Schizosaccharomyces pombe: one gene and its partners. The gene in region 3 interacts genetically with the main gene of each other region. Each region holds a gene or a part of one and is shown on either strand. Other genes may lie near its edges.

Region 1 (7,844 bases), on a different chromosome or scaffold from region 3:
TACAGATAAAATGCTTTTCTAGGGAAGCAAGGATTTTGTAGTCGCATGAAGCTGGTGGTGAAATCACAAACATTACATCTATCAAAGTGTATATTGGTTGTAAAATCTCGAGTTCATCTTTTAAAAAAATAAATACAAAAAAAAAATTTATTGGTAAATGCACATACATTAAATTACTACCTCAATGCTTTATGAACATGAAAAATCCATACACCTAATCACAGGCATTCATCTGCTATACACTTATTCCGACGACCTCTTTGTTACTATATAATATTATGATTAGGAATTTTTTAGCGATATATCAATAAAATGGTTTAGCGAGATATACAAGCACTTTTCACTTTTAGCTTAAGCTTCATTGTGGCTTTTGCTCGTTTTACATCATGTCAGGTTACAGGAGGTAACGACCTGCATTGATACCTTGAGCATGTAGGAAACTGAATATCCAACAAAGAAAGAGCATAATAGCTACAGTCTTGAGCCCACCCCTTTAATATCAAATTATAACGTGTAAAATGGTATGAATAACTTTTTTAATTAATCAAAAGCATTCTTTTGTATGAAAATACTAATTATGATTCATAGACTGGTGTTCATGAAGGGACTGTGTTGGTTACTGGCGGCGCTGGTTATATAGGTTCTCATACGGTACGTAGAGAGCTTGAAGATACAGAAGAGGATTAGTAATGTACATGTAAATGTTTTAAGCACGCATCTTTTGTGAATATAGCTTGCTGCTCTTTACTTTTATACAATTTCGTCCATATTCTATAAAGCTCTTTTTTGAGATATTTTGCTAACCACAATCTGCAATAGTGCGTTGTTTTGTTAGAAAAAGGATATGATGTTGTAATTGTCGATAATTTATGCAATTCTCGCGTTGAAGCCGTGCACCGCATTGAAAAACTCACTGGGAAAAAAGTCATATTCCACCAGGTGGATTTGCTTGATGAGCCAGCTTTGGACAAGGTCTTCGCAAATCAAAACATATCTGCTGTCATTCATTTTGCTGGTCTCAAAGCAGTTGGTGAATCTGTACAGGTTCCTTTGAGTTATTACAAAAATAACATTTCCGGTACCATTAATTTAATAGAGTGCATGAAGAAGTATAATGTACGTGACTTCGTCTTTTCTTCATCTGCTACCGTGTATGGCGATCCTACTAGACCTGGTGGTACCATTCCTATTCCAGAGTCATGCCCTCGTGAAGGTACAAGCCCATATGGTCGCACAAAGCTTTTCATTGAAAATATCATTGAGGATGAGACCAAGGTGAACAAATCGCTTAATGCAGCTTTATTACGCTATTTTAATCCCGGAGGTGCTCATCCCTCTGGTGAACTCGGTGAAGATCCTCTTGGCATCCCTAATAACTTGCTTCCTTATATCGCGCAAGTTGCTGTAGGAAGATTGGATCATTTGAATGTATTTGGCGACGATTATCCCACATCTGACGGTACTCCAATTCGTGACTACATTCACGTATGCGATTTGGCAGAGGCTCATGTTGCTGCTCTCGATTACCTGCGCCAACATTTTGTTAGTTGCCGCCCTTGGAATTTGGGATCAGGAACTGGTAGTACTGTTTTTCAGGTGCTCAATGCGTTTTCGAAAGCTGTTGGAAGAGATCTTCCTTATAAGGTCACCCCTAGAAGAGCAGGGGACGTTGTTAACCTAACCGCCAACCCCACTCGCGCTAACGAGGAGTTAAAATGGAAAACCAGTCGTAGCATTTATGAAATTTGCGTTGACACTTGGAGATGGCAACAGAAGTATCCCTATGGCTTTGACCTGACCCATACCAAGACATATAAGTAAACCATACTCTTCCTTTTCGGATTAAGTGGGTTTTAAATAATTTCCTTCTCTTTCTTGATTCAAATTTGCATAATATGTTTTAGGACTTATGGATTCAAAGACATTATAATGTATTGTTTGATGAACCCTTTTCCCTTTCCTGTACCTTAATTGTTTATTGTAAGTGCGCTCGAGCTATCGATTAGGTCGCTAATAATACCGGTTTGCGAATAACTTATGTTTTAAAAGGGATTTAACAATGAAGCTTATTTCAAAACAATCACTTTCGGTTTACATTTTTATTTCTTTCTTTTGCATACGCATTTTCGTCAAGTTGACATTTTTTCTAATATTGAAGTTTCTTTATATTTCACCTTTTAATTGTATTTTTTTATTCAAAGGTTCTACTTTGTCAATCATTTTCAATTCCTATTTCGATATAGCTTAGATTTTACAATAATACTTGTTATAATACTGTCTATAACTTTTACGTTAGCCGAAGATTAGAAGTCAAGCACCGTATTGAAATCAAAATTATTAATAATGAGTAAGTGAATATATACCAAGGTTGAATGTTTTTTAACTTTTTAAATAGACAGTTATGAGATTTGCACTTCATGACATGCTAGATTAGCGTTTTTTTTCAAATGAATTTAAATTATTCGCAGCTGTTCAATGAATGTAATCGTATAATTAAATCTTAAATCTTTAAACAGCTGTGTGTTTGATTGAATCCACATTCGTCCTCATGTACTCATAGCTAGGTGAAATATATTAGGCTTTCAGTGATTCGGGATTCCAAACTACACTTAATACCCCCAACATCAAAAATTACGAAAATACGATTAAGCAAATAATATTTAAGTGGATATAATGACCAGCAAAATGGAAAATAATAAAGATGAAAGCATTTCTACCAAAAATGCGTTAGAAGAAAAATCGAACGAAACAAAAGACGAAACTTCAAAGCGAAAGCACGATCCGGCAGAAGAAGAATCAGCGGTTTCCACTAAAGTCTCGAAGAGTGAACCGCTGGAAGATAAAGGGAATGCTGAAGTTAAGGAATTTAAAGAGACTACGAAGAGCAATGGCGTAAAACCGGAGGTTGAGATTACTGAGTCTACTAAAATCCAAAAGGAATCAAACACGGAGCCATGTATCTCAACTGGAGGTAAGGTAGAAGAAAAAGAATTGAAGGTGAATAAGGATGTTGATGAAAATGAGGGACACGTAGCTGTAGAGACAGGCAAAAAAGAATCGGCTGCTAAGCCTGCCGCGAGTGTTTCTCCCTTTTCACAATTTGCTTCATTCTCTAATGCCTCGTCTCCATTCTCCAATGTTTCAACCGCCTCCTCTGAACCAAAAGAAGAGAAATCAGCATTTGGTGCTTTCGCTTCTTCAAAGTCAGCGTTCACAATGAAGAGCGTTAAGGATAGCCCATTTAAAAAGTTTGCTGCAGGAACAGCAGTTGAAACAGAAAGTGGTTCTGGCAAAGAAAAAGAAAATGATAAAAAGAGTTCAGAGAACTTTGACGAGTTACTTGCGAATACGTCAGCCAAAGCATTCGAGAATCAGAAAGGTTCAGCTGGTGAAACCAAATCGGAACCTAAGGAGGCTGACAAGGGTAGTGGAGACTCAACAAAGTCTACTATGCATCAGTTGAGTGATTCAGAAATCATCACTGGGGAGGAAGAGGAGGAATCAATATTCAGTGTTCGCGCAAGACTTTATGTTGTTGCTGATGAAAAAAAGACTTGGAAGGAACGTGGGCAGGGAATTTTGAAAGTAAATGTTCCCAAGCAAAGGGGATCAGGCTCAGGCCGCCTTTTGATGAGAAATGATGCCGTGCATCGAGTTATAATGAACGTGCCTCTTTTCCAAGGCATGTCGAAAAAGTCATTACAAATTGCATCAGCATCTAGTGGTGGTTCTGCTAATTACTTAAAGATCTTCGTTATTGAAAATGGAAAATCTGTGTTATATGCTGTTCGTGTCAAAGATAACAGTTTGGCAGAACAACTACGCAATCACGTTTTGGAAGCCATTCCTAAGGGTGGAAGAGAAGATGCATGAGCGAGATAGAAGATCCACTCGTAAAATAGTAAGTACTTTTCGATTCTTTTTTAGCTCTTCACTATGGTTCTTATTCATTCGAAAGTCCAAAAATATTATATCTATATGCAAAATATGTCACGCTATAGGACGGGTTAAAGTTATACATGATTTAAATGAGCCGATCCTATTGACTTTTAATAATTGATTTTCCGGGTCAGTCTATTTCTATACACTCGTCTTATCATTGGGAGGCATACCTCTATAACTACAGTTTTTCAAAATTACTAACAATGTGTACATCACAGTACGTATTTTATTTCCTCCATTTTTACCTAATTTAATCTTCATATTGCTCAGTACGCCATCTTGAAGGAGCAGAGAGTAGTAAGTTTTGCGATCGTTTGTCCTTTCAAAATTGTGATTTTATCCACCATACAACCAGATCATCGCACTTCGAGATTTTTATCTCTCTATGTATATTTTTTTCATTTTCAAATCATGAACTATGGCCGATTGCTGCTAGCATCAATGTGATTTTACACAGCAAATACATCTAGCAGCACTCTAACATATAATCAAAATTTAAGATTGCTATAATACTTTAAATACGATATCAATCACCAAATATAATTTTATTCAAGAGTATCTTAAGTCAGATTGTGCGCTATCGTTAATTTCCTTTAATCCCTAGTTACTGATAGTTAAACTCATGATGTATTGTCTCCCCTTCAATTCGTTCTAACGACGTTTCTTAGGACTTCTAACTAACGAACCTTTCCTCATTAATTTCGAGGGAGTTTACGTCAGTTAGATTATCTGATGCAATGCCTTTTTTTAGCGTATATATAACATGCTATTGCCTCTGGGAATTCCTCGCTTTCCAAGTAAGCTACCTATAGTAATTACTAAATTTTCTCTGTTTCTTTTTTAACTTGGAGGTTATTGTCTCTATAATCCTTGATTAGGATTGTTTTGTTTCTTCACTTGTGCTCTTTGTATTCCATTTTAGGTAAAACTTTGGTCTAATACATACTGTGGTAGTATTTAGAACTCTGGTTTATTTGAAATTTGTGTTAAATAGGATTCTTTAAAGTGGGTTATTTTCATCTTCCGACATACCTTTCTCATTATCCCTTAGTTTAGTGATTCAAAGTTCAACTTACCGTTTAGTAGGGTTTACTTTTTTAGTTCCCTCAATTTTATTTCAAGAGGAATAATTTATATTTTTTATTTTCCTTCTTATCTATCTTCTTTTTGTGATATTTATTTATTTTGATTTGTAAAAATGCGTTCTCGATCAGTGGCATCTTTAGGCGTCTTGCTTGCCATCGTCTTTTATATCTTTACGTATGGGTTCTCTACCTATCGAAAAAACGACACCTCCGCTGTAAAGACTTGGTTAGAGGAGCACTCAATCCCATATGGATCAAGAAGCTCTCCTTCTGACTTTCAGCAATTTATCTCCGAATCTTATGATTCCTTGGTCCCTAACCTTGACAAATGGAGCGGCCATAATTTAAATTCTTGGTTGGGAAAAAAAACCGAATCTTCATATCTTGATGCTATAAGCAACAAAATTCGTAAGACGGGTCGTAAACTTAGTGGCTCTGTCGAGGATGCTCGGGATGCCACTCAAGAAGCCTGGGAGTCACAAAAGGCTTCGCTTTTCGAATCTTGGTCTGATTCACAATTGCGAGCCTTTTTAGCTAGACACAGTCCCCAATTTGCTGCTAAAGAGAAGAAAGGCATTCTGGAGAAGTTGAGTCCTGCTTCACTTCGCGAAACAGCTGCAAAGGAATATGATGCCCTCACTTCTAAATTAGGCAATACTGGAGATTGGATTTATGATACCTGGTCCGATAACGAATTGCGCACCTGGCTGCATGATGTAGGTGTTCCCATTTCTTCCCATGAAAGTACTCGTTCTCACTTGCTTAGAAAGCTGAAGAACTATATTTCTACTAAAGCTGACGAAGCCCAACCTTCTGTTGAAGCTGTAAAGGGCAAGGCTTCCGAGAAGGCAAAGCAAGCTGGAGAATTTGTTTCTGACAAAGCTGGCGATGCTAAAGAATTGGTTAACGAGAAATCTAGTGAAGCTGGTCAATATGCAGGACAAAAGATGGAAGAAGGTGGTGAACTTCTACAAGAAATTTCGAAAAGAAGGGGCAGATTTGGTAATTGGTGGGCCAATTCTGGACTAAAAGCATATTTTGACGCTCATGGTATTCCTGCTTATCAACCATCTCCAATTGATCAATTTTACGCTCACCTTCGTCGTCAGTATTACTTAAAAACAAACGGTTATCAGGCTCTAAAGTCAAAGGCCTATGAGGAAGCTTCCAACGTGGCTGACTCTGCTTCTTCTATTGCCTCTAATGTTGCAAGTGGTGCTACAGAAGCCTATCAAGGCGCTGCTTCTGGAGCCTCTCGTTTTACAGAGGGTGCGAAAACCGCCGCAGAATCGGTAACATCTGCATTTGAACATAATAAGGATACTGCCACTTCAAAAGCCAAGCAAATGAAAGGTAAGGCTGCCAGCCTTGGCTCTACTGCCTCAGAGAAGGTAGGCGAAGCTGCTGACTATGCTGCTGAAACCGCTAGTAAGGTTGCCAGTAAGGCGGCATCTAAAGTACGTGAAACAATAGATGAGACCATCATCGAGCGCTGGCAAGACTCTAAATTGAAGGAATTTTTGTTCCTTCGTGGAGTTCCGGTTCCTCAGCGTTCTACTAAGGATCAATTACTGGACCTTGTTCGTAAGCATTTCAATAAAGGCGCTGTTCCTAATTGGGCTGCTTATTTTGATACTTTGAGCTCCAAAGAGCTTTCTGCCTGGATTAAGGAATACAAAAAACATTACCATGGAAAACTTCACCCATCCAAAGATCGTGAACATCTTTTCCAAAATGCCTGTAATATTTATCGCGCTATTGCTGAAAAGGCTGACAAATCTGTTCTTCAATCGATTCAATCAAAGTTTCCTAAGGCAACTGTTCCCGGTTATGACTCTTGGTCTAATGAAGATCTAAAGTCTGCACTCAAGGAATATGGTGACAGTATTGGTAAGGTGTTTAATCGTAAAGATGCTATTGAACGCTTAAAGCGTCATGATATTTTATTCTATGGTCCTGTTGTTGCCGACAAGGCTAAATCAGGAGTCTCTGGCTTCCTTCGACGTGTTGCTTCTTTTATGGGATTTGGCACTCGCGACGTAGCTGAAATTAAGCTAGGAGAAAACATTCAAAAGGTAAAAGATACTGCCTCTAAAGCCTCATCTGCTGTATCTTCAGCAGGCGACTATGTCGAAACTAATGTAAAGAAAGCCCAAAGGGTTTTGTAAATTGTTCATGAACGTTCTTAATGTCTATTTATATTATTTAAAAAGAAGGAGATTACGTCTAAAACGAGTTCTCGTTTAATATATGACTTTTAATGAAATATCTATGTTCATATTCGCTACTTAACCTTCCTTGGCAAGTAATCCATCCTATTGTTAACATTAATATAATCCATCAAGATACTTTTTTATTAATTTAAGTTTTTCAGAATTAGATGTTGGTGCACCTCCTCCAAATCTAGAGCTGTGGAAAGAATTGGTAAAATCTTATCGCGATGTTCGTGATTCTCTAAAAATTGCAGTAAAACATTTCTAGCATATTCTTTGTTAATCAATTCTTTAGAAATATTGCTTATAACAGGTGGCTCGAATGAACCTGCTGAATCACTTGAAGCTTTGGGCAATATTTCACTGCTCATAACACTGGACAGCTCGCTCTCGTGAGATTTGACACTTTCCTTTTGAACCTTTTGCTTTTCAATGAGTTCTTTTATTTCATCCCTTGACTCCACTAACTCGTTTCCAACATTCCTGAGCATATCTTGAAGATTTTCGTTTTCTTCCTTTAGTTTGCAGACCGTTTCATCAGATTTCTCTAATCTTTTTTTTATATCAAGGTGCTCTTGCTTCGTATTTAGAGCATCCCTGTTGT
Region 2 (7,327 bases), on a different chromosome or scaffold from region 3:
GGGATCTGTGTAAATAGCCAGTAATCCAGTAACATCGCAATATTTCGGTTGAGGGAGGACACTAGGCGGTGCTTCTATCGATGAGTAAGAAAATTTGCTTGGTTCATTTTGTACTGGGTCATTTTGAATAATTTGTCGTAGATTCCGATTTCGCCTAGGTTGTGCTTTATAATTGGGATTTCGAAATGGCCTTGCAAGTAAACTGATGTCTAAACTATCGACAGAACTGTTTTTTTCCATGAAACTGATAATCTTGATGATTTGGCTATGGCAAATTGAAAGCCGCACTTCTTCTATGTATCGTTGTATCCTTGACTACCATTACTAAAGGTTCGTCTGATGTCGTTAATTCAGCTCAAGCCATTAGTGAACGAGTATTAACACGCCCTCCTTAATTCTAAACTCATTAGCTGCTAAATTGTAAATACACATATTACGTGAAAGCAAATAAATTTGATGAATAAATAATTCAATATTTTGTATTTTGAAGTTTTGAACGCGTTTAGAAATGTAGACTTTTACCAATAATACCATGTTGTCTGTCCATTTTTCTCTAAATAAACTAACGAATTCATAAATAAGATGAGATTTTAAGTTGCAGCTTAACATTTGTCAACGAGCTTGCATAATTGTACAAATGCATTACTTTCCAACACAGAATTTTGAGAAAATGACAGAGAAAACGTTTTCCATGTCGACTGCCCCAGTTACTCGACCTATGTCTTCGGTAGCTAGCTTCACCTCTTCGGCAGCAACTACGATGTCTGAGCTTTTTTGCAGGGCCAAAGAAAGATGGCTGGAACAACTTGATAAACATTGACGCTGACGTTCATTCCAACCCAAATTTGCTTGAATTTTATTATTAGTAAGAGGGTTGACCATACACTCGAAAGTAGAGGAAAGAGCTTGCAAGAAATCAATAAGTCCTTCTTTTGTTTTGCAAGAAACTGCATGTATTCTATTTTCAGGAATCAAAAAATTTTTCTGAAGATAAGCTTTAATGGGCTTAAACATAGTTGTGTAATCCGAAACGCAGTCGACTTTGTTTATTAGAAAATGAATAGGTTTTCTTTGACGAAGGCAATCTTTAATGGTTTCCAAAATTTCTGACTGTTTTAAAGATTCGGAAAAAGAATGGTAGTTTATGGGAAAAACAAAAAGTGTTAACTGGGATTCTTCCGCCCTGGCTTTCGCAATTTCAATACCAATTTTCTCAATTTCCTGAACGTCTTCTCCTTTTCTGAGTCCTGCTGTATCAGAAAGCAATACTGGAAATCCATTTATATCTACTAGTACTTCGATAGCATCTCTTGTCGTTCCAGATTGAGGACTTACAATTGATATTCTGCGGTTAGCTAGTAAATTAATTAAACTCGACTTCCCAGCATTGGAAGGCCCAAGAATAGCCACATTAATACCTTTCCTCAGAACTTCTTTACATTTTCCTCCCTCTATATGAGCGTCTATTTCATCTTTCATTTCATTCAATTCCTCAAACAACTTGATCGTTTCAATATCGTCCAGTTCATGTTCTTCTGAAAAATCAATTGACGCTTCCAAAAAAGCACGATATTCGATAAGCTTTTTTCTCCATCGAAAACAAATATCATAAATGGAGCCATGTGCTTCTTTATTTGCACTGTAAAGTTGTTCGGCTGTCTGCGCATTGATAACGTCTATTAATCCTTCCAGTTGCGTCAAATCTGCACGACCGTTATAAAATGCTCTTTCGGAAAATTCTCCTGGCTTAGCATAGCGAATATTCGGAATTCCTGACTGCTTTATGGCTTCAAGTGTTACATCCACCACAGCTGTCCCTCCATGTAATTGCAATTCAACAACATCTTCACCTGTAAAAGATGAAGGCTTTTTAAAATATAACATCAATGCTTTGTCAATGACTTCAGAACGCACTGGGTGTTTGATCGTCCTCAGGGACGCTATACGAGGTTTTGGCACACTTCCTGCGAGTGTTTTTGCTACCTAATATTAGTTGTTAGTAAATGATCGGTTTGTTCTAGATTTATAGACATTTGCCTTACCTTGCATGCATTTGGGCCAGAAATACGAACAATTGCAACAGCAGATGTACCGGGAGGAGTTGATAATGCATATATAGTAGGAATTTGATGAACGAATCTTCTAAAGCATGCTTGAAAAGTATTTAAAAAGACTCGATTTAATATTCGCATGCTTTTTTATCTTCCAACATTAGTTTAACAGTAGTAAATTGATTAATTATCTCAAACAAGACTGAAGATTTGACGTTATTAGTTGCTTTGGTAGTTAACTTCAAAATTAAGCAGTAAGCTTCTTAGCTTATTGCAAAATTATACATACGGAAGCAATTATCTAATCAATCAATCAACAGTTTAAAAATCAAGTATAAATGATCGTAAATTGCAATTGAAGAATTTTTAGGAGATTAGCAAGCCAATATAGTTAATGAAAAGTATCAATGGTTATTAATAAATCATCGAAACTAAAGAAGGATTAATCCCAAAAACGAACGCTACACCAAACAACTAAACAACTGTAATTTAATGTTGGATATCTGCAGTCTACTTGATCCATGCATTTGCACAACATTACTTACAATTTTTCCCGTTAATAATATTTACCGCATTCTCTTAAAATTCGTTATATGGTTGATTCTTGAATTTGTTAATTGGATTTTCTTTACCAAGCGCCATACTCGAAAATGCAGCAAGACGAGGTGATTTGGCAGGTTGTAGGTCATGAATTTTGTTCATATAGGATCAAGTAAGTTGATTTCGCACTTTTAGTATTACATTATAACCTAACACAATTTTTAGAGGGGAGGCACAAAATTTTTGCAGAAATGAATACAATGTCACTGGGTTGTGCAATAGACAATCATGTCCATTGGCTAACTCCAGATATGCCACAGTACGGGAGGATAATGGAAAGCTGTATCTTTACATGAAAACTATAGAACGTGCGCATTTTCCATCGAAACTTTGGCAACGGATAAAGTTATCAAAAAATTACGCTAAAGCGTTGGAGCAAATTGATCAACAGTTATTGTATTGGCCTGGTCGTCAAATCCACCGCTGTAAGCAAAGACTAACCCGCCTCACTCAGTACCTATTGAAGGCTAGACGATTGGCATTAAAACACCAACCAGCATTAATTCCCATTAAGCCTAAACAAGCGCATCGTGAAGCTTCTCGTGAAAGAAAAGCACTTATTGCCGCCAAATTAGAGAAAAATATTGAAAAAGAATTGGTTAAGCGACTTAAAAGTGGTGTTTATGGTGATCAACCTTTGAATGTTAATGAAGAAATATGGAACAAGGTACTAGCCGCACGTGAGGGTTTAATTGATGAAGGCGAGGAAGAGGAGGAACGAGAAGAAGCTGAATTAGAATTTGTTAGTGATGATGAAGATGAAGAAGAAATCTCTGATTTGGAAGATTGGCTCGGCTCAGATCAGTCCATGGAAACTTCAGAGTCTGAAGAGGAGGAAAGCTCAGAGTCTGAATCCGATGAGGATGAGGATGAGGATAACAAAGGAAAAATCAGGAAACGTAAGACCGACGATGCAAAGAAATCCAGGAAGAAGCGCGCTCCTCATATTCATATTGAGTATGAGCAAGAACGTGAAAATGAAAAAATACCTGCTGTTCAACATTCTTGGTAAAAAAAAAAAAAAGGTTTTGAATGTTATCTTTTTTTAAGGGATTCTGTTCAATAGTTTTTACTTTGTCGTTTTTATTTTGGATTATTTAGGTGTATAGATATGAATGGTTTTAATAATAAGGAATTTATCGGAGCTTTTACAAACAAAATTAGCTTTAATGTATCCTTGCTTTATTTTATTACTTGTGGCATAAAAGCGTTAGATATAAATAATGCTATACTTTCGGGAAACTGAACAAATTGACTGGAAATTTAAGTATTAAAAAGTGAAGATTTTTAGTTTAGCGGGTTTCAAGATGTTGAATCCTGGATCGTAGAACAGCAATTTGTTCACGCAGTCGCTGATTTTCATCCATTATAAGTTTCATTTGAGTTTCAACATCCAAGTGGTTTGTTGATACAATATTTGATATATTTGGCATTGAGACTTGGTTAGGTAATAATAGTCCACAATTGAGAACTTCCAGAAGTGATGGTCGCTTCGTGGGGTCTTTGGCTGTCATCCATAAAATTAAACTTGACTCACAAATATGTTGCTCAACGAACTCTTCAGGAAGATTTCCTCGACGAAGGTCTTGAAGTTTTGTTGCACGTTCCATATTTGTTTGAAACGGGTGCAACAGCTCAAACAAAACCATTCCTAATGAGAATGTATCGATTTTTTTTGTAAATTTATTATGCTGAGAAGACATAGCATCTAGCAATTCCGGAGCCGCGTAAGTTGCAGTGCCTATATGCTGAGTCTCATCTTGCAGATTAGGCAAGTGGTTTCGTTCAAGAAAAGAAAGTGCGGTTTCTGTGTTTTTTTTATTTTCAACAACGAGTCCAAAATCACCAATCTTAGGAGTAATGTATTCTTTCAAATCGTTTTTATCATTATAACTAATTAAAGGAACAGACCCACGGTCCTCCGGTAAAGATTTAGCAAGAAATATATTGCTGGGTTTGATATCTCGATGGATCAAGTTCACACCTTCATGTACGTACATAACGCCATTAATTATCATTCGGAATAAATCCGTATGCAGTTGTATTTGTTCCTTACATAGTGGGAATGAAAGAAAATGGTTTCTTCTTATTAGATAGGACTCTAGATCATCAAAGCAAAGCTGCATTTGAATATAAATAATAAAAGAATGAGTGGGTCCAGTTTTAGATATGTGCATGCTACTAGAATAGTCGTCATCCAAGATGGTGGTATTATTAAAAGTAGAAACATTAGAGTCATGAAGATTACGAGGGCTTTCTAAATTCTCAAAGTTAGAAGATTCAGTAGTGCTTGAGTAGCTAGATTTTCTGGAAGTTGAAATGATCGACTCGGTGCCAGGATCTTCTGCAAATAGTATATCGTCTGTAAGGGCAGAAGATTCTGTTGGTTCAAAAATTATGGAGTCCATTCCGTTGACATCACAATAGCTTGAGGTTCCAAGTACTCTACTAGAATTTTTAGACATTACTATCGGCATTTGTGTTGCTTCTGTGGTGCTTTCTACCCAGCTCGAAAAGTATCGACTAAGCCGATGTTAGAAATAATAAAAGGAAGGCGATGAAAACAAGTCCTTCTGATGATGCTTACATAACATTTGGATGATCCATTTTTGCTAGACATTTGATTTCTCTAAATATTTTGGAATAAGACATTTGCTGAAATGTTGAATTAATTTTCTTCATTGCGTATTCAGCACCGTCAATCTTATTTCGTACGTGATATACTGATCCAAATCCACCTCTTCCTAGTAAAGAATACTCCTCAAAGTCCTCTATGTAACGAGAGTTTCTTGACTGTAACCAACTCTCAAGCGTAAGATCACGGAATCGGAACTGTCTTACATTTAATCCATCTACAGAGAATTTCGAAAGAGCAGTTTCTTGTGGAAATTTTTCAAATACATTGGTGGGATCGGGTAGTGCTAAAAGTCGCTCTTCAGCATCGTCGAGACGGATTGCCTCACGCGCTTGCAGAATCAAATGGTGTAAAGCATCCTGATAATTGGATCTAACGGCTGCAAGTTCTTCAATATATTCTTCTTCCAAAATACCTATTTTTTGAAGAGTATGGCAAATTAAAGCAAAAAGTCGTTTGGACTTGGCAGGATTATTGTCATACAGTTCTTTAATAAGTAAGCAAGTAGTTCACATGAAACGAGAGCTTAGACATACGACAAAAATTTTCCAACAAAGCAGTTAAAAGCATCCGCCCTAATAAATACATTAGCTTAGGTTGTCAATGACCAATATTTTTAGTTCGTCAACTGCTTTATACACACAGTTGTAATTAATTCCTACCATGTTTATTGACAGACAAATCCCTTGATTGTCTTTCATTTTTTAAACTTATTGCATTTGTTGTCTCTGAGTAATTCCCATCTTCCGCTGACTTGTGAGCGTTGAAAAATCGCATATTTGTGATGATGGAAGTGAAAAAGGCATTAAGAAAACAACCAGTTTTTTTCTGCACTTATCAAAATATTTGTCAAAATCCCGTTAATCGCAACCAGCTAATCTCGTATCTTACAATGGAAGGTTAGAGAATTGTTAATGGAAACTTTGTGGTTGACTTTTCAGATCATGAAAGTAACATTAGGAGAATTTAACTCTACAGCTAAAATACATGGTTTCTACTGACTATGGTCGTGTTAACGATAAGTATGTATTTGTACTGTTAAAAATTCAGATAAGTAATTATAATCAGTCTTCTTTTTTGAACTTCTTCATTCGTGAAAAAGCAAGTCAATTTTTAAATTAGCATCGTAAACAGTAAGCCAAAGATACATTTATAATCTAAATCAAAGCAAAAAGAATCCAGCTCGAAACTGAATTTATAAAACCAATTTGTTTAAAGAATTGATATATTTTATTACCAGATAAATGTTGTGGACAGAAATCATTTGAATTATTAATTCATTCATTAGTTTTACCTCAAGATAGTAAGAAGGAAAATTGAAGAGAACGAGCACTTCAAGCTAACTATTAAATTTAATTACATTAGCCAGCATGATGTGAGGAAAAAACATTTTGATTTGACACAATTTAATTTATCATTTCACATTCATAAACAATTCTTTAATTTTTATATTAAATTATACTAAGTAGTAAAGAGCACATGGAATCCGTTGTGGTCCAACGGCTAGGATTCGTCGCTTTCACCGACGCGGTCGGGGTTCGACTCCCCGCAACGGAGTTTTTTATTTTTTCTTAATTTTGATTTTTGATTTATCACTTACTGAATAATTCCAGTGTACTAAAATTTAATCTTCGGTTAAATTTTCTATGGAATGTGTATCTATATTACCCAAAATAATGCGCATTTTTTATAAACATTTGATTAACTGATAATGTATTCAAACTATATGCTTTTAGCAATGGAAATGACAGCAACTTATGCAGCGCAAATGAACCTAGAAAAGATTGAAAGCAAATAACAATTAACACTTAAAATCTAAAAAATTAATCTAAAAGGATTTATTATTTAAAACTTAATGACTGACTAAAATAATAAGTGAGGCATTTACCTGTCTCAACTCTTTTTGTGGGATTATACAACATGCAACTATAGGCATGAATTTAAAAAACTAATCCTTTTTCTCCTTTAAAGGTAAAACACGCTCTTTTACCCACCATTCATGCCATCTATTATCGGCGGTCAGCTCGGGGTGAAACGATGT
Region 3 (8,826 bases):
CCCATCACTGCTCGATTACCTTCCTTAGGAATTCGCTCTTTAGCAACTGCAACTGCTTCTGCTCATCCCCCTGTCCAGTTGTATGGTTTAGATGGTATGTACTGTAAAAGGTGATTTTTAATTGCTACCATTTTGACTGATATCTTCATTGTCATCCAAAAGTCTGAATTTTTTGTCTTGGTAATTAACTCTTTTCTCTTATTTAGGTTCTTATGCTTCTTCTCTGTATACCGCTGCAGTAAAAGAATCCAAGTTGGACAATGTTGAGAAGGCCTTAAATAAACTGTCTGGTGTTCTTCAACAGAGACCGGAATTTGAACAATACATTTCTAGTCCTTGGTTGACTCGTGAGGATAAGAAAATATTGGTTAGTTCTTTGACGCAGATGACTGGAAATGAACCCCTTTTGAAGAATTTCTACAATGTTTTGTTAGACAATCATCGTCTTTATCTCTTAACTCGTATTCAGAAACAATTCTCTACTTTGATGCGCGCTAAAAGAGGAGAAATTGAAGTTAAAATTACTTCAGCTACTCCTCTAGATTCGAAGATCCTTTCTCGTCTCGAATCTCGGATAGCTAAATCGAAATATGGCAAGGGTAAATTACTGGTTAGCAATAAAGTTACTCCTTCTATCATCGGTGGACTAATTGTTGAAATTGGTGATAATATTCTTGATGTCAGTGTTGGTTCTCGTCTCAACAATTTGAACAAGCTCTTAAGTGGTAGGTTTTTTTATTATTTTTTAATATTTTTTCATGATTCAATTTTAATTTTTTTTACATGCTAACCATTTATAGAACCTATTTAAGGCTGTTTTAATGCAACAGCGTATCCTTCGCCAAAACCCAATCTTTATTCTCTTCTCATTCTAAACAGGCTTGAATTTCCTCTTATTCGTATTTCTCTTTCTTTGATAGGTTTTAATGAGCCATAGTACGTATTACATAGTCAATTGAAACTATGGTCATCATGTTTGCCTTACCTCCTCAATATTTCAGTTTCATTTATGTATGCTGTTATCAACTTTATGAATGCTATTTTTTCATCATCGAATAGTAGATCTTTGAAAACTTAGTTCCTGGTTATGGAAAAGGTGTGATTAAAGCCACAAATGTACTAACACTAATTTTCTTATCGTATCTCAAAGCTTGGAGTGATCCAGTACTTAAAACTTTAAACCATTCCATACTTAACCCGTTCAGTTTAGAGAAGTTGTACTTGATGGTATTGATTTTCAATCTCATCTGCATAACATAGATTGAGATTTATGAATAAACGTGTTGAATTGAAACCTGGGATATTCTATAAAAAGTTAACATCAGTTACTGTTGTTTATTAGTCAAGAGCTTCAAACCTTTTCGGTTCAATGACACATTCCGACAAGCAATTTTTAGACAAGAACGTCGCCAAGCCTAAGTGAATCCCATTGTCCGACGCCTATTAATTAAAACGATTCAGCTTGCGAATTGACGTCAGGTCTTGAATTCTTCCAATTTCTCCTTTTTGTAAGCGGTATATATCGTAATTAACTGCTGCTTTCAAATTACTAGGCTTCTTTTTGCAGCTAATGTTTTAAGAAATTCTCTAGAATAATTGGAGGTCATGAGTATAATATTATTACTACTTTTTGTTTTTGAGTCTATTTTATTAAAATCATTTTTGTAAGAAAACGGATACGAAATACCACGGCGTAAGGACGCGTTAAACGAGGTGATGAGATACGTGTATTGTGTGTGTAGCAAACAAATGGTAACAATTCCCATTTGGCAAGATGGATCCGATTTTGCAAGAATTAGTAGATGAGTGGTTCAAATTAGATCAAGTAAGTATTAGGACTATATTTACTATGGAAGTACTGTGGAACTAACAGATTGAACGCATTAGGATGAAACTACGAGGAATGAAGTTTCACAATTGATTAAGGCTGAAGATTATGCCACCCTCAAGCAAATTATGCATCCAAGGATTGGATTTGGTACATCTGGTATGTTTTTATTACAAAAGAAGAAAAAATTGAGATTGTTAAGAGATATTTCGCAAGTTGAAGTGGATTGAAAGAGAACGCTAAATAATGCCTCTTTCTTAATAAAGAATTCTCAGTGCTACAGCCGGTAGCTTAAACTACTTTATTGTGTTTTCCTTGATTAGAGTCGAAGTGATATACTTGATCATCGGTCACTTTCCTTACTGCGTATACTAATTTATTGTGATGATCATATTGGTCATATTTCAGAAAGAGTTTTTCGTTCTTCTTCTTCTTTTCTATCTGTTTTGGTCTTTTTTGCTTGGAATGTTATATAACGTGCTTGTACGAAATTGGTTTAAGTGTAATTAGATTTTCAGCTTGCGATTGTTCTCTCTATACATCTTAATGTTTTAACATTATCAAGTTCGTTTATTCATTTACTAATGTTTACAAAGGTTTGAGAGCTGAAATTGGTGCTGGCTTCGCTCGCATGAACTGTTTGACCGTGATTCAAGCCTCACAAGGCTTCGCTGAGTATTTGCTTCAAACCGTACCATCAGCTGCAAAGCTGGGTGTGGTAATTGGACACGATCATAGGCATAAGTCTAATACTTTTGCTCGACTTACTGCTGCAGTGTTCTTGCAAAAAGGATTCAAAACGTATTTCTTCGATCATCTTGTCCATACCCCTTTAGTCCCTTTTGCCGTTAAAACCCTAGGGACTGCAGCTGGTGTTATGATTACTGCTTCCCATAATCCCGCAGCTTATAACGGATACAAGGTCTATTGGGGAAACGGTTGTGCTATCATTCCTCCCCATGACAAGGGAATTGCTGCATGTATAGAAAAAAACTTAACGCCCATTACTTGGGACAAAAATTTGGTTGAAAATCATAAACTAGCAGATCGGGATTTTGCAGTTGGTCTTTTAAAAAACTATTGGTCTCAGCTCCACGAATTCCATTCCGAAAACAACTTTTCCTTGGAAATGAAATCTTTGAAATTTGTTTACACTCCTATTCATGGCGTTGGATTACCATTTGTTACTTCAGCATTACACTTATTTGGCGAACAAGGCGATATGATTTCTGTACCTCTTCAAGATTCTCCAAACCCTGACTTTCCGACTGTGAAATTTCCAAATCCAGAAGAGGAGGGGGCATTGGATTTGGCTTACGAGCAAGCTGATGCTAATGGTATTTCGTATGTCCTTGCAACTGATCCTGACGCAGATCGTTTCGCCTTTGCAGAAAAAATTAATGGTGCTTGGAGAAGATTTACCGGAGATGAAGTTGGTTGTATCCTTGCCTATTTTATATTTCAAGAATACAAAAACGTTGGAAAGCCAATTGATGATTTTTACGTTTTGTCAACTACTGTCTCTAGTGCTATGGTAAAGTCCATGGCCAAAGTAGAAGGATTCCATCATGTTGAAACACTTACTGGATTTAAGTGGTTAGGCAATAAAGCATTAGAATTGGAAAAACAAGGGAAATTTATTGGATTGGCATATGAAGAAGCTCTTGGTTATATGGTAGGTAGTATAGTTAGAGACAAAGACGGGGTTAATGCTTTGATTACGTTCCTTCATCTTTTGAAACGCCTTCAACTTCAGAATCTTTCAATTACCGAGGTTTTTGAGCAAATGTCTAAAAAATATGGTTATTACACTACGCAAAACTCATATTTCCTTTCACGCGACACTCCCAAGCTTCGTGCTTTGGTTGATGCCTTGAGACATTATGACACAAAATCGGGTTATCCGGCAACCCTTGGTAGTAAGAAAATTACAAATGTTCGCGACCTTACTACAGGTTACGACTCAAGCTCCACGGATGGTAAAGCTACTTTACCAGTTTCAAAAAGTTCAGATAACGTAACGTTTGAGCTTGAAAATGGAGAGGTAATTATGACTATTCGCACAAGTGGTACAGAGCCGAAACTTAAGTTTTATATCTGTGCTCGCGGACATTCGCTTGAAGATTCCATAAAGAATGCTACAGAAGTTAAACAGGCTATCAAATCTGAATGGTTTCATCCCCAACAGAACGGACTGGAAGAGCCATGAGTTTTCTCGCGTGTATAATTTTAATTTGAGCTCGTTTTTTAAGCAAAATTATAAATTGCAAACAAAAATATTTCAATAAAGTATTAGATATGATTTCCTGAGTTGTTGTGATTTAAATTTTATCCTTAATTGAAAATTCCTTAAATATCTGATGGAACTACAAAAATATAGAACTTCAATGATCAAGTAATGTTTAGTGTACTATAAAACCATGGCAAGATTCATGTCTAAAGGATGACTACAACTTAATTGGGGCAGTTGTGAGTATTTGTTGGAAAGTACTTGTCGAATACCTCTCAGCAACTGCAAGTAGCTAAGTTGGGGATTTTGAGTGACGACTTCACGGAAGGCGTATGATAAAGCACCAGTAGCGAATCCATTAACACTTGTATCTGCGCTTGTTTGATTATCTTTGCATCCGGATAAAGAAATAACATCAGCAGGAGAAAACTTAACTTGTCTAGAGTACTGTAGAGCGTTGTTATTAAATCCATTGGTAGCACTGGTAAATATATTTTTCACGTTGTTGATAGCTCCCATAATGTCGCCAGAGGCATAAGAAAGGCCAGCATGAAGTACATCCATACCAGATTCTTTTAACATATTTGGCTCCTTTAGAACGCCCTTGGTAGAGTACGTGAAAGGAAGATCGAGAGCTCCACCTGAATGACAAGCTATATTTTGTTAAAAATAGATTAAAATCACTGACTTACAGTCAAAGAGAGCTGTTAAACGACATCCTGCTGGTAAAGGCTTAACCATTATTTCGTGCATTTCATCATCTATAATTTGCCCGGCATATTGATGGTCCAGTGGATATATCGTTTCATCATAACCATCAACTTCGTCTCCATCAAGGTCTTTTGTTTGCCCTCCGTGGCCCTATGCATGTGAGTATGAGATGTAAAGTGATGATTCTTACACTATAGTGAAAAAATAATGCATCCTAAATAGTTAGCATTAGGAAGTAAATCCCATGACATATAACTTACATTAGGTTGGGCATCACTTACTAACCATCTCATCGCATCTAACATATTTTGACGAGTGGGAATTGCCCTTTGGTTGCTTGCCGTGTCTGTCATAATAACTAAAAAAGTTTTAGCAAGATGTTCTCGTAATCAACCATACCCATATCTTCTTGCTTGTAACCGTAGCGCTGTATCAGCAGTTGGGACATAGACATGACATCTTAAACAAGTTAATATATGTTTACTTGACCTTTCGCATTCCGTACCATTAATGCAACCTTGCAACTCATTTTGGGTATTGAGATAGTTAATTCCGATCAGCAAAGCCTTTCGCTTCCCTTGGCAAGTTGAATACTGATACTGAAAGTTTCCTCCTCCTGCTAAGTTATAAGATTGAGTCTGAGTGTTTGGCAGCTGAGGCCCACTATAATTTGGGTTGCCATAAGAATTAGCACCAGTATTCGGAGGCGGACCTGAGGGTGGGGCATAAGCATGGGAGTTTGCAGAGCTCAAACTTATATGACCAACATTCTCCATAGGGATTTGATTAGAATTGCCGTCTGTCTGAGGCCTTGTGGAAGGGGGTGGCATACGTGGAGGCTGATATTGATGTACAGTGTTATTACTTTGAGAACCATTATTTGGTGAATAATTAGGTCTAGTATATGTATTATATGGTGGATATTGCCCACCGTTATAAGGATTGGAGTTGTAGCTCATGTTGATGGGAAGTTGGATAGTGCTTAACTATGCTACTTTCAATAAAATACCAGATCTCACAGGTTATAACTAAAGCAAAATCAATTTGACTACAGTATATACATTTAAAAAAAAAATTAATTGCAAAAGATGCGAGCAATATATTATAATCATACCACACATCAAAACGTATTATACACGAAAGAGCTGCTACACGAAGAAATAATTTAATACGATGAAAAATCAAGTAATGTATAAAGCAATAAGTGAAAACCTAGCCGGCATAGTCTAAAAAGAGTGAAACAAAATCCGAAGATTGTTGATGGATTAAATAAAAACCTAACCTAACCTAAACTAACTAAAGCATTTTGAGGAACCAAAGAAAATATTGAAAGACTTAGAGTGAAAGAAATGAAATTTAAAAATGTGCAGACAAAGCTCTCTGATTATCGACACTCAAAGTGGCAATGACAGAATTAACTTGATCAGCAGGGAAACGAGCTAAGTAAACCTTCGAAGCTTCCATCAAACGTGTCAAAGTTCTTCCACGTAAAACTCCAGATGCAAATGTTTCTGCTAAAATCGTAATAATCGTTGGCATTTGTGAGGCAACGGCCACGTGATTTTGTTCCATCAATTCCGCAAGGAAAGTGTAAGCATAAGGAGCGTCATCTTCATCATGTGTTACAGGAAGTGTATTAATCCAATACGTTACAACTTTGTCAAGATCCTGAACACGTTGGCTACAAAAGCGGCAAATTTTGCATATCGCAACACAAATATTTTCTGTGGCATAAATTTGTTCTTCATCACGGGCATCAGGAAGCTCGAGCATCTTAAACAATGCGGGCAAAGCACTAGAGCAGATTTCAGCATACAACTCTCCTCCATGCTGAGCGGCTACTCCAATACCGTACGAGGCAGCTTGTCGAATTTCTGGTTCGCTACTTTGAATACCTTCAGCTAAGTAAGGCAAAAAGTGATCCTTGTAGTTCCAAGAATCGGGTCCAGTAAATTCAATTAAGTCATCCATCATGCATAGAGCCCATTGCTTAGCTACAGTGTCGTTTCCAGACAAAAAGCCATCCATGTACGGTAGTAGCCTTTCCCAAAAAGGGCAGAAAGCAGTTTTGTGAATTTTTAATACAACACTAAAAGTCTTGTTTATTTCGTTTAACAAGTTTTGATCATTTTCGACTGCAAGAATCATGTCCTCATCTTCTTCAATATCTATGTCACCATTTTTAGCCTCCTCCTCACGCTGCTGCACGCGAGAAATGAATCCTTTGAGCTGCAAATCAACGGCAGCAACGAGTGCTTCCATCGAAGAAGGACTCAGATTCAAGCCGCTGATTTCCAAACTTTGATAGAAACATTCAAAATAGTCGGCAAGCATTTCCACGCTTGGTTCATTTTGTATATGATCCAACAGCTTTCGTAAAATAGGCTCCCAAAGCTCATTGACTTTAGCTGGATCACGATTGCTAGCTAAAATCCGAGCGTTCAATAACTGAGGAATACACTTACAACAAGCAGAACGAACCCCGTCGTGAAAGAAGAACTTCAATCCTGGAAGTACAACAGATGTCAAAACTTCATTGACGTAAGGATCAAAGTCAGCTTTTAACTCAGCAGCATAGCAGACAAGCATTTCGGTGGCAGTACACTTGTCTTCTAACGTACTAGTCCTAATACCAACCTGTTGACCATGAACGGGAATGAACTCCCAACCATCTTGTTCAGAATATTTGCTTTCATCAACCTCGTCGTCTATAATTGTGAAGTCAGGTTTCGAGGTAGCAGCAACCAACAGAGGAGGCATAACTGAACTCAAAAATGGGACAAAATCGCTTCCTAAAACACGGCAAATTCTTCCCCAGGCAGAGATGAGATAACTAGCTTGAGGATCATCACTGTCAGTAATACCCATTTGAATGTTACCTAAAATTTGGATTAATTCCTGAGATACAGGAAGGAATCGTTGTTTACCAACAGCTAAGGCAATTAAAGTAGCACATTCCATAGTTTTACCGCGAAGGGTTCTAAACTCCTTGCCGTCAGCTTGTTGCAGAACATTAAACAATAACGGCATGATGGCATCAAAATATTTTTCAAATTTTTTAGCTGCAGCGTCAGCAACTGTAGCTATAGTGGTAACGGCTTGTTCCTGCACATATCGCTTAGGGCTTTGTAACAAGGTAAGAAGGCGTTGAAGGATATCATCCAAGTAAGGTTCGAGAACCTTGTTGTCGGCCTCTTCAGAGAAATTAACCATTGCAGCAGCAGCATGAGCTTGAACACGGGATTCTGGAGACTCCAAAACAGGTACCAATGCCTCGAGGATGCGAGAAGGATACTTGACTTGCATGTCAGGAGCAAAATCTGTAGACATTTGGCCTACAGCATTGCATGCAGCCCATCGAACACGGGGGTGAGGGTCAGCTAACAAAGGAAGTACCATATCTAATACACGACTAAGCTCTTTTTTCATTAATTTTTCAGCACCTTCGGCAATTGATGAGATGGCCATAAGGGCAGCATGACGTTCAGACCATTTTTGAGACGGGATCAATCTAGGAAGCCACGTGAAAGAGGGAGGAAGAATTGTTTTTCCGCCCAACTTTCTAGAAAGTCTATCCATGGCTTGTTCCGCGACAACATGGTTAGCATCACTTTCATCCTGATCCAAATCGTCCGTGTTCAACCATTCTTGAAGTTCTTCTGCCTCATCCTCAGGATCGCCAGCGACATCGGTCATTAGCAAGAGACATTGAAGTACAAGTTGATCAGTGTAGTCGGAAGATTTCCTACACATAGCAGGGGCACCCTCCGAAAAACAAACAAGCAATTCAAGAGCAGCTTGGCGAGCGGAATTATCCAGCTCCTTGTCCTTAATGATACCAAGACCAAATGCGATGACGCTCTCAAAAATAGGTTTGAATAACTTTGGGAAAACTTCGGCGATTTCAGTGATGGCCATAAGACAGTCCGCCAAATTATCAGAATCACGATCTTGTTGCAGAGGGGGAAGGATGTTCATGAGGCTAGGTAAAAGAGGAATAACCTGATCTCGAGTGGATTGTTTGCTCTCAAGAATAACGGCAGAATAGGCACGAGCG
Region 4 (7,081 bases), on a different chromosome or scaffold from region 3:
TTTGTTCTAAGGGAGTCAAATTTCCGAGATTTCTAACCTGCATTTAACAAATAGTTAGCATCTCAATAAAACATTCAACCATTCGCTTTGTGACCCAGTGCACTTTATATGATATCTTGACGATGATTTGATAAAGTTTAAGTATTCTTACCTTTCCCGAAACGGTTTTACCAAAATCCGTAATAGAATCGCGGAAATTTGTAGGATAATCGTATCCATCAACTTCTACGGTTTCAACAATAGGTAAAACAAGATTGTATGCTTCTTTCAAGCTATCAACTTGTTGTTCCAATTCCACATAATCCTCCGGAAGAGATAACTATTGAAAAAATGTTAATTCGTGTGCATTTTATTTTATCGTACTTCCTCGACTCTTGATCCAATTTTTGTACGCAAATAATGAGTGGTTTTCTAACATAAACTGTTAATAAGATATTCTTGTTTATCGGAATGAATAAATCAACTAAAACGATCACTTTAAAAATAAAATCACGGCTGCGGGTAATAAAAACGCAAATACTAACTGAAGATTTAAACAGCAATACAATATAACAAATGCATCTTACCTTAGCGAAGGGCGTGATTGAAGAAACTGTAGCATTAAACTGCCCAGTGATGTGAGTTTTGAAAGTCTCCATTGTTGTTGGCTCTAGGTAAAACAGAGATGTTATCGTATCCAACTCTACCAAAAATCAACGAGCACCATGATTTTAAATTACTTTGAGTTATACAAAATATAACTTACTGAAAACGTAGTACTATCATTTACACCTTTATATATCTTGTTTACCAATGTCGAATACATACATAAAAAACGCAAATACTTCTTCTTAGAGAAAATCCTACATTAAAACAGTTAAAAATAAAGAGAAGGAGATAGATCTAAAAATTCGACTAAATCAAGTAAATGTGGTTCATCAGATTAATCATTTTTGAAGTTGACATAATATAAAGTATTGAATTGATTTAGTTTCGTATGAGATAGTTTACCACATAAACCTTTGAAGAGCATTTGGCTCGGATGGCCATATAAATGTTCGAAATAAAAATATATACAAGGTGACAGAATTAATGACCATATGCAAAGCATATTCCATTAAACATTCCCTCCCCGACGGAAGAGGAAGATGAAAACGCCAGAAAAGGAAGGGTAAAAGGAAATACCGAAATTCTACTAAAGGTGCCGGTACCAATGTAAGGATTGTTGTTGAAATCAGTAAAAAGAACGTGAGCGAGGTCATTTGCAATTTGGATATATCCAAAAAAAAGTAGTATAAAATTAAATAAGAAAATGGGCCTAAATATTTTAACCACCAAATTCGAAAAAGTCTGTTGAAAACGTAAAATAAATAATGCCTGTTGTCTGCTAAAATAAATGGATGGAAAATTCTAAACGTTAGTTAAATTAAACAATACCAATTTAGCACGTACGTATTAAAATGCGCTATCAACAAAAGCACAGAAACGATCAAAAAAGATTTTTTAGAAAAGACTGCGGACAAAAGTTTGGAGCGTCGAGAATGGGACATTAGATATTTTATAATATAAGAGGGAAAAGAAAAGAAAAAGAAAAACCACAGAAAGTAATTTATTTGAGATAAATGAATGCTTGCTTGATGATGAGATTTGTCGCCTAAGACAATACTGCCATTCCAAAGCAAAAATGCAAGGAAGGAACAAAATACTGCACCATAGGATAGAATTGGGCACGAAAATCTTCTTAAATTTTTAAGAAAAACCCCTAAGAATGAAATTATAGTAAGAAGAACATCAGCAAAAGTTGCTTCAGCTAAGTGGGGATTGAAGAAAGACATATTGCTAGCAAAATATGTAACTGCAATAAAGACCATCCAAACGATATTTGTCTGTCGAAACCATAGAGAAAAAAAACAAGACACAGAGCTTGAAAAAGCAGACTTTCGGAGAGCAAAGTCATAAGCAAGAAGGACGAAAAAAGTACTACCAATATCAGTGTAGTATAAAAATGAGAAAAACCATAAAGGAGGTAATGACGATAACGTATAAGCGAAATAGGTAACAACATCTCCTTTCCTATTATTCAAAAGAGAAACGATATCGTTTATAAGCCATGGCAGTCCAATTACGCCTACAAGCCAGTTTATTAACCTCAGAGATACATTGCTGCAGCCTATAAATGGGCTGAGTGCGACTGAAACCAAGTATAAACCAGGAGGTGTAGTAATCGCCGGATCCCAATCCCAATCTTTTCTACAAAAGCGTTGAGCTTGTGCAATATGGAATATTTCATCCAAGTAAGGATTAGGAACATAGTATTGTATAGCTAGAAGACCTGTAAAAGCTAGAAAAATCCATAGTATTAGAATTATAGCTTTTCCAAGAAACATTGTCTGTGTTTTGGGTCTTTAATGAAAGTTTATAATAAACGAATAAAGAAAATCAGGTTTTGATAAAGGGCGCACCTTTTACAAACAGCTTTTTATGTTCGCTTGTTTTAGACCCTATAACACAATTTCCAAAACAAACGATCAACTTTTCGAAAGGTGTGAATTAAATTTCGCTGAGGTTGTTGGCAGGAAGTTTGGAATTCAAATGCTTACAATATAGCAAGAGTGGGAGAACAATGTTTTTACATCAAATTAATTGAATTTCATGATTTTATTATTAGTTATCTAGAGAAAGATAGCATTCTAAAAACCATTCAACATTATGCACACTTAAGTACGAAATGTGACGAGTCTGTTTTTTATATTTAGGCTGCTAATTGCATCATTTTTTTTTAAAAGAACTGATAACATTGAATTTCATTTAAATTTTAATACTTGATAAATTTCATAGTAATGTGGTCTAACATTATCATGTACATGAAGGCAATTAAGCGGTAATACTAACTAATTAATGAAATCTGCCTGAGGCTTTTTAACTTAATATTGGCACACAAAATTACTCGATATACTGATTACCACCAATATGAAACTAAACAATCGTCTTCCTATTGCTTGTAAGTGTAACATCTAACGTATTGTTTTTATAAAACTATTTAGACGTAGTGCTCTAAAACAAACACGATAATACATTATTAAGTAACGTATATAGAATACGCAGAGAAGCAGTTGTTATTAAAAATACTAATAACTTTCAATGTCACCGTTTAAAATTGTAAAATTGTTTTCTATAGCAATTCAAAATCTCTGAATGAGGAATATCAATGTTTTGGGTTCATGAAAGTGGTTTCATTACGCCGCATTTATAGTAGTGAGATATACAAATTGCCAACCACACGCCTTCACATGGATACCTTGTATTACTATTATTTCGTAAGCCATCTAGCTGCAGCATTATTTGTTGATTTACCTATAACTGAATGGCTTGGAGGCTCTTTAAGCTGTCTTTCTGGTTTGCGACGCTTTTATTTATCTACATATGAAGACCCTATTCTTTTAATCCCTGCGCCTTGGAAAACTGCATTGTTTTCTTCAGAACTTTTCTTTCAAGTTCCTTTTTTTATTTGGGTTTCTCTACGCTTACGAAAGAAAGCGAGGGATCCAGTTTTATGGGTTGCAATTCTCATATACGGGGTGCATGCTTTTACTACGACATGGTGCTGCATGTTCGAGTTATTTGCTGAAAAAAAATGGATGATAATGAGTTTTTATTTTCCTTATTTGGCCATTCCTTTATGGATGGCAATTGATATGGGTGGCCGATTAGTCAAGTCGTGTCATGCTGCCAAATCAGGTCCTTCCTCTACCATAACCTCAAAGAGTGATTAAGAAAACACAAAAATGAATAATTTAACACCAGAAAATATTCGTCAAACGATTTTAGCAACTCCTTTTCTATTAAATCGAATACGCACAGAGTTTCCTCAACTAGCTGCTGTCCTTAATGATCCCAATGCGTTTGCTACTACATGGCAGTCCATTAATGCTTCTCAATTATTGCAGATTCCTTCTTCTACATATTCGATGGGAATGCCTTCATTTTCTGTACGTTTAATTTCGCATAATAGCGCCCGTATAAACTGCTGAGTCCAATAATTTAGTTTTAATGGACACAATAAATAAAGGGCTTTCGAAGGTGATTTACTAACATTTTTGTAGGAAGATGACCTCTTTGATGTTGAAGTCCAACGACGTATTGAAGAGCAGATTCGTCAAAATGCCGTGACCGAGAATATGCAATCGGCAATAGAAAACCATCCTGAAGTGTTTGGTCAAGTTTATATGCTTTTTGTAAACGTTGAGATTAACGGTCATAAGGTGAAAGCATTTGTGGATTCTGGTGCTCAAGCTACCATTTTGTCTGCTGATTGCGCTGAAAAGTGCGGTCTTACCAGGCTTCTTGACACTAGATTTCAAGGTGTCGCTAAGGGCGTAGGAATGGCTAAAATATTAGGTTGTGTTCACAGTGCACCTTTAAAGATTGGCGATTTATATCTTCCATGTCGATTTACTGTTATTGAAGGTCGGGATGTTGATATGCTACTTGGTCTTGATATGTTACGCCGTTATCAAGCTTGTATAGATTTAGAAAATAACGTTCTTCGGATTCATGGAAAAGAAATTCCTTTTCTTGGAGAATCTGAAATTCCAAAATTGCTGGCTAATGTGGAGCCATCTGCAAATGCACACGGTTTAGGTATTGAACCTGCAAGTAAGGCGAGCGCTTCTTCACCTAATCCACAAAGTGGCACTCGTCTTGGTACCAAAGAAAGCGTAGCACCCAACAATGAGGGATCTTCCAATCCCCCTTCCTTGGTAAATCCTCCCACTGACCCCGGTTTGAACTCCAAAATTGCACAGCTAGTCAGTATGGGATTTGATCCATTAGAGGCTGCGCAGGCGTTAGACGCTGCGAATGGAGATTTAGATGTAGCTGCTTCTTTTCTCCTTTAACGACTTAATTCGATTTCGGGGAGATTGGATATACATAATCAATGATTTTAGTCATGATAAAAATTAGGGAAATGATTATTTTCAAGATCGGTCCTGTTCTACTATTGTAGACGAATTCTTTCAAATTAATGTGTTTTATATCATTTTTTATGTGTTTTGTATCAGAAAGTAAAAATTCTATATATATGCGTAATTGCTTAATCAAACTGAGTTTTATATTTCAAGATTAGTTTTTTCAAGTATTTGTTATTTTAATTTTACGTTCACAAAAAATGAATGTTATTTATTTTAATACTTAGAAACTTTTATGGTTTCATTGGTTTGACGTACGTAGGATGAAGTTTTCTTACAACCAAATTTAATCTTATTCCCTACTTCATGTTTAAAGTAGATTGGGACTTAGGTCCAGTAAGTAAAAGCGCATCAGACCAAACGAAAGAATCTAGAAAAGAAAAAAAAAGAAAGAAAGGTGAGAGAAAGAATGTAGGAGATAAAGGCGAAAAGCTCAACGAAAAAGTTTTAAAAAAGGCAAAGTCGGTTACCACAAACAATTCCCTGAAAAGCGAGATTAAAAAAGAAAAATCAGTCCCTTCTATTAAAGAGAAAAACAAGGGGGATGCTAAGCATACTAAGTTAACGTCTCTTCAACAAAAAATGAAAGATAAACTAGATGGTGCCAATTTTCGATGGATAAATGAACAATTGTACACTACGGAAAGTGACAAAGCTGTACAAATGTTCAAGGAAAATCCAGATTTGTTTGATATTTATCACGCTGGTTTTCGATATCAAGTTGAAGGTTGGCCGGAAAATCCTGTTGATATTTTCATTCAACATTTAAAGATCAGATTTGAGCATTCAAACGCAAAGAAGAAAAACAATATTGTAATTGCTGACCTCGGTTGCGGAGAAGCTAAAATAGCTTCTACATTTAGAAAATCACGTTCTTTGCAAGTGCACAGCTTTGACCTTGTTGCTCCCAATGAACATGTGGTAGCCTGTGATATTGCGAATGTTCCAATGGCTGACGAAACTGTCGATATTGCTGTATTTTGTTTAAGTCTTATGGGCACCAATTGGCAATCTTTTTTGAAAGAAGCTTATCGTATTCTTAAAGTCGGTGGTTTACTTTGGGTTGCTGAAATCAAAAGCAGATTCTCTGATAAGAGTGGAGAAGTTTTTGCTAAAGAACTTCCAAAATTAGGCTTTGAAACTAAGTCCATTCAGCTTCAAAACAAAATGTTTACTCTGTTTGAGTTCAAAAAAGTACCTGTACACGGGAAATGTGAAGAACTCCCTCCCATATTAAGTGCTTGCATTTACAAAAGAAGATAAACAAGGTATTGTTTAGGAAAGAACTGGTCTTTCGGTATAAGAAGGTTTGGGGCTCTTGTATAATAGGTTTTGTTTTAAATTTTGGGATAATATAATATTAAACGTTTACTCTTTGTCAATCGGAAGACGGACTAACGGAAGAACGATAGGTTTATCAATATCGCATGAGAAAATAGGTTATATATTTCAGAAATAACTGTTTCGTTAGAGCTGTGAATATTCGCAAAAGCAAGCAAGAGTCACAGGCTGTGTCTAATCGTTGATAATGAAAAATATAGCTATACCAAAGACCCAAATGCTACATTCTAATTGATGGAGTAATCTATTGGCTGGCTTGTCATATCAAATCATTCATCATTTATTTTGATAGTGCATGGGTTAGACTTTGAGTAATTATTAGATTTTTTTTTAGAATATTAACTTGTGCTATATTAGCATCCTATATTTGATATGTACCTCTAACTTGTAAGTCAAAATTCACATTGAAACAAAAAGCAAAATTCGTTTATTTTTGAAGACAACATTACGAGTATCTTGTGAATCGATAAAACATTTGAATTTAATCCATCGCGGTCAAAGAATAGAAAGAATTTTCCATCCAGTATATTAGTAATTATTAATTATAGGTAGCTCCAGCAACTTATTCATGTAGCACACATATTTAGTTGCCTTAAAGGATGAAACAATGACCAAATGCTTCATTTTTTTTAGCGCTTACAAACTTACAAAGTCAATTTTTTAAAATTGCGTGAACTCTTCTTTCGCGAAGCGAAGGCTGGAGACTACAAATGATATTCATTGAGCACGAACACGACTTTGGTTTAAAAAATGGTACATGAAAATTATTACCAGAATGGGAAATGAGTAGC

Evidence for each region.
Region 1: mutations in pca1 (region 3) and ish1 together harm fitness less than expected from each alone (positive genetic interaction), as found in Schizosaccharomyces pombe (one large-scale study listed by BioGRID).
Region 2: mutations in pca1 (region 3) and mss1 together harm fitness more than expected from each alone (negative genetic interaction), as found in Schizosaccharomyces pombe (one large-scale study listed by BioGRID).
Region 4: mutations in pca1 (region 3) and alg10 together harm fitness more than expected from each alone (negative genetic interaction), as found in Schizosaccharomyces pombe (one large-scale study listed by BioGRID).

Annotation. Positions count from the first base shown.
Region 1 is NC_003423.3:2,515,600-2,523,443, reverse strand, and holds ish1 (nuclear envelope Ish domain protein Ish1), read left to right. Parts: upstream 1-4,730; 5' UTR 4,731-5,140; coding exon 5,141-7,195; 3' UTR 7,196-7,319; downstream 7,320-7,844. Other genes in the region: UDP-glucose 4-epimerase Uge1, read left to right, coding at 519-521, 589-651, 820-1,821; Ran GTPase-binding protein Hba1, read left to right, coding at 2,674-3,873; Golgi GRIP domain protein Grp2, read right to left, coding at 7,384-7,844. UniProt on the Schizosaccharomyces pombe protein: Has a role in maintaining cell viability during stationary phase induced by stress response. Activated by the spc1 MAPK pathway.
Region 2 is NC_003424.3:950,412-957,738, forward strand, and holds mss1 (GTPase mss1), read right to left. Parts: upstream 2,557-7,327; 5' UTR 2,193-2,556; coding exon 2,043-2,192; exon of another isoform or gene 1,984-2,042; coding exon 643-1,983; 3' UTR 501-642; downstream 1-500. Other genes in the region: Ino80 complex subunit Ies6, read right to left, coding at 1-240; nuclear HMG-like acidic protein Mak16, read left to right, coding at 2,702-2,763, 2,817-3,663; eIF2 alpha kinase Hri2, read right to left, coding at 3,944-5,174, 5,239-5,773, 5,823-5,861, 5,949-6,063; sno1 (glutamine aminotransferase subunit), read right to left, coding at 7,235-7,327. UniProt on the Schizosaccharomyces pombe protein: GTPase involved in the 5-carboxymethylaminomethyl modification (mnm(5)s(2)U34) of the wobble uridine base in mitochondrial tRNAs.
Region 3 is NC_003421.2:2,260,869-2,269,694, reverse strand, and holds pca1 (metacaspase Pca1), read right to left. Parts: upstream 5,729-8,826; coding exon 5,275-5,728; exon of another isoform or gene 5,229-5,274; coding exon 5,169-5,228; exon of another isoform or gene 5,128-5,168; coding exon 5,030-5,127; exon of another isoform or gene 5,003-5,029; intron 4,984-5,002; coding exon 4,960-4,983; intron 4,920-4,959; coding exon 4,751-4,919; intron 4,712-4,750; coding exon 4,239-4,711; 3' UTR 4,038-4,238; coding exon of another isoform or gene 2,425-4,037; 3' UTR 2,390-2,424; downstream 1-2,389. Other genes in the region: F0-ATPase delta subunit atp5, read left to right, coding at 1-94, 207-725, 801-811; pgm2 (phosphoglucomutase), read left to right, coding at 1,775-1,825, 1,888-1,987, 2,425-4,037; karyopherin/importin beta family nuclear import signal receptor Sal3, read right to left, coding at 6,126-8,826. UniProt on the Schizosaccharomyces pombe protein: Involved in cell death (apoptosis).
Region 4 is NC_003424.3:1,135,366-1,142,446, forward strand, and holds alg10 (dolichyl-phosphate-glucose--glycolipid alpha-glucosyltransferase Alg10), read right to left. Parts: upstream 2,554-7,081; 5' UTR 2,367-2,553; coding exon 1,432-2,366; intron 1,390-1,431; coding exon 987-1,389; 3' UTR 831-986; downstream 1-830. Other genes in the region: mug64 (BAR domain-containing protein), read right to left, coding at 1-37, 152-319, 364-411, 567-638; protein ema19, read left to right, coding at 3,201-3,752; UBA domain protein Mud1, read left to right, coding at 3,765-3,968, 4,083-4,877; rRNA methyltransferase Rrp8, read left to right, coding at 5,256-6,212.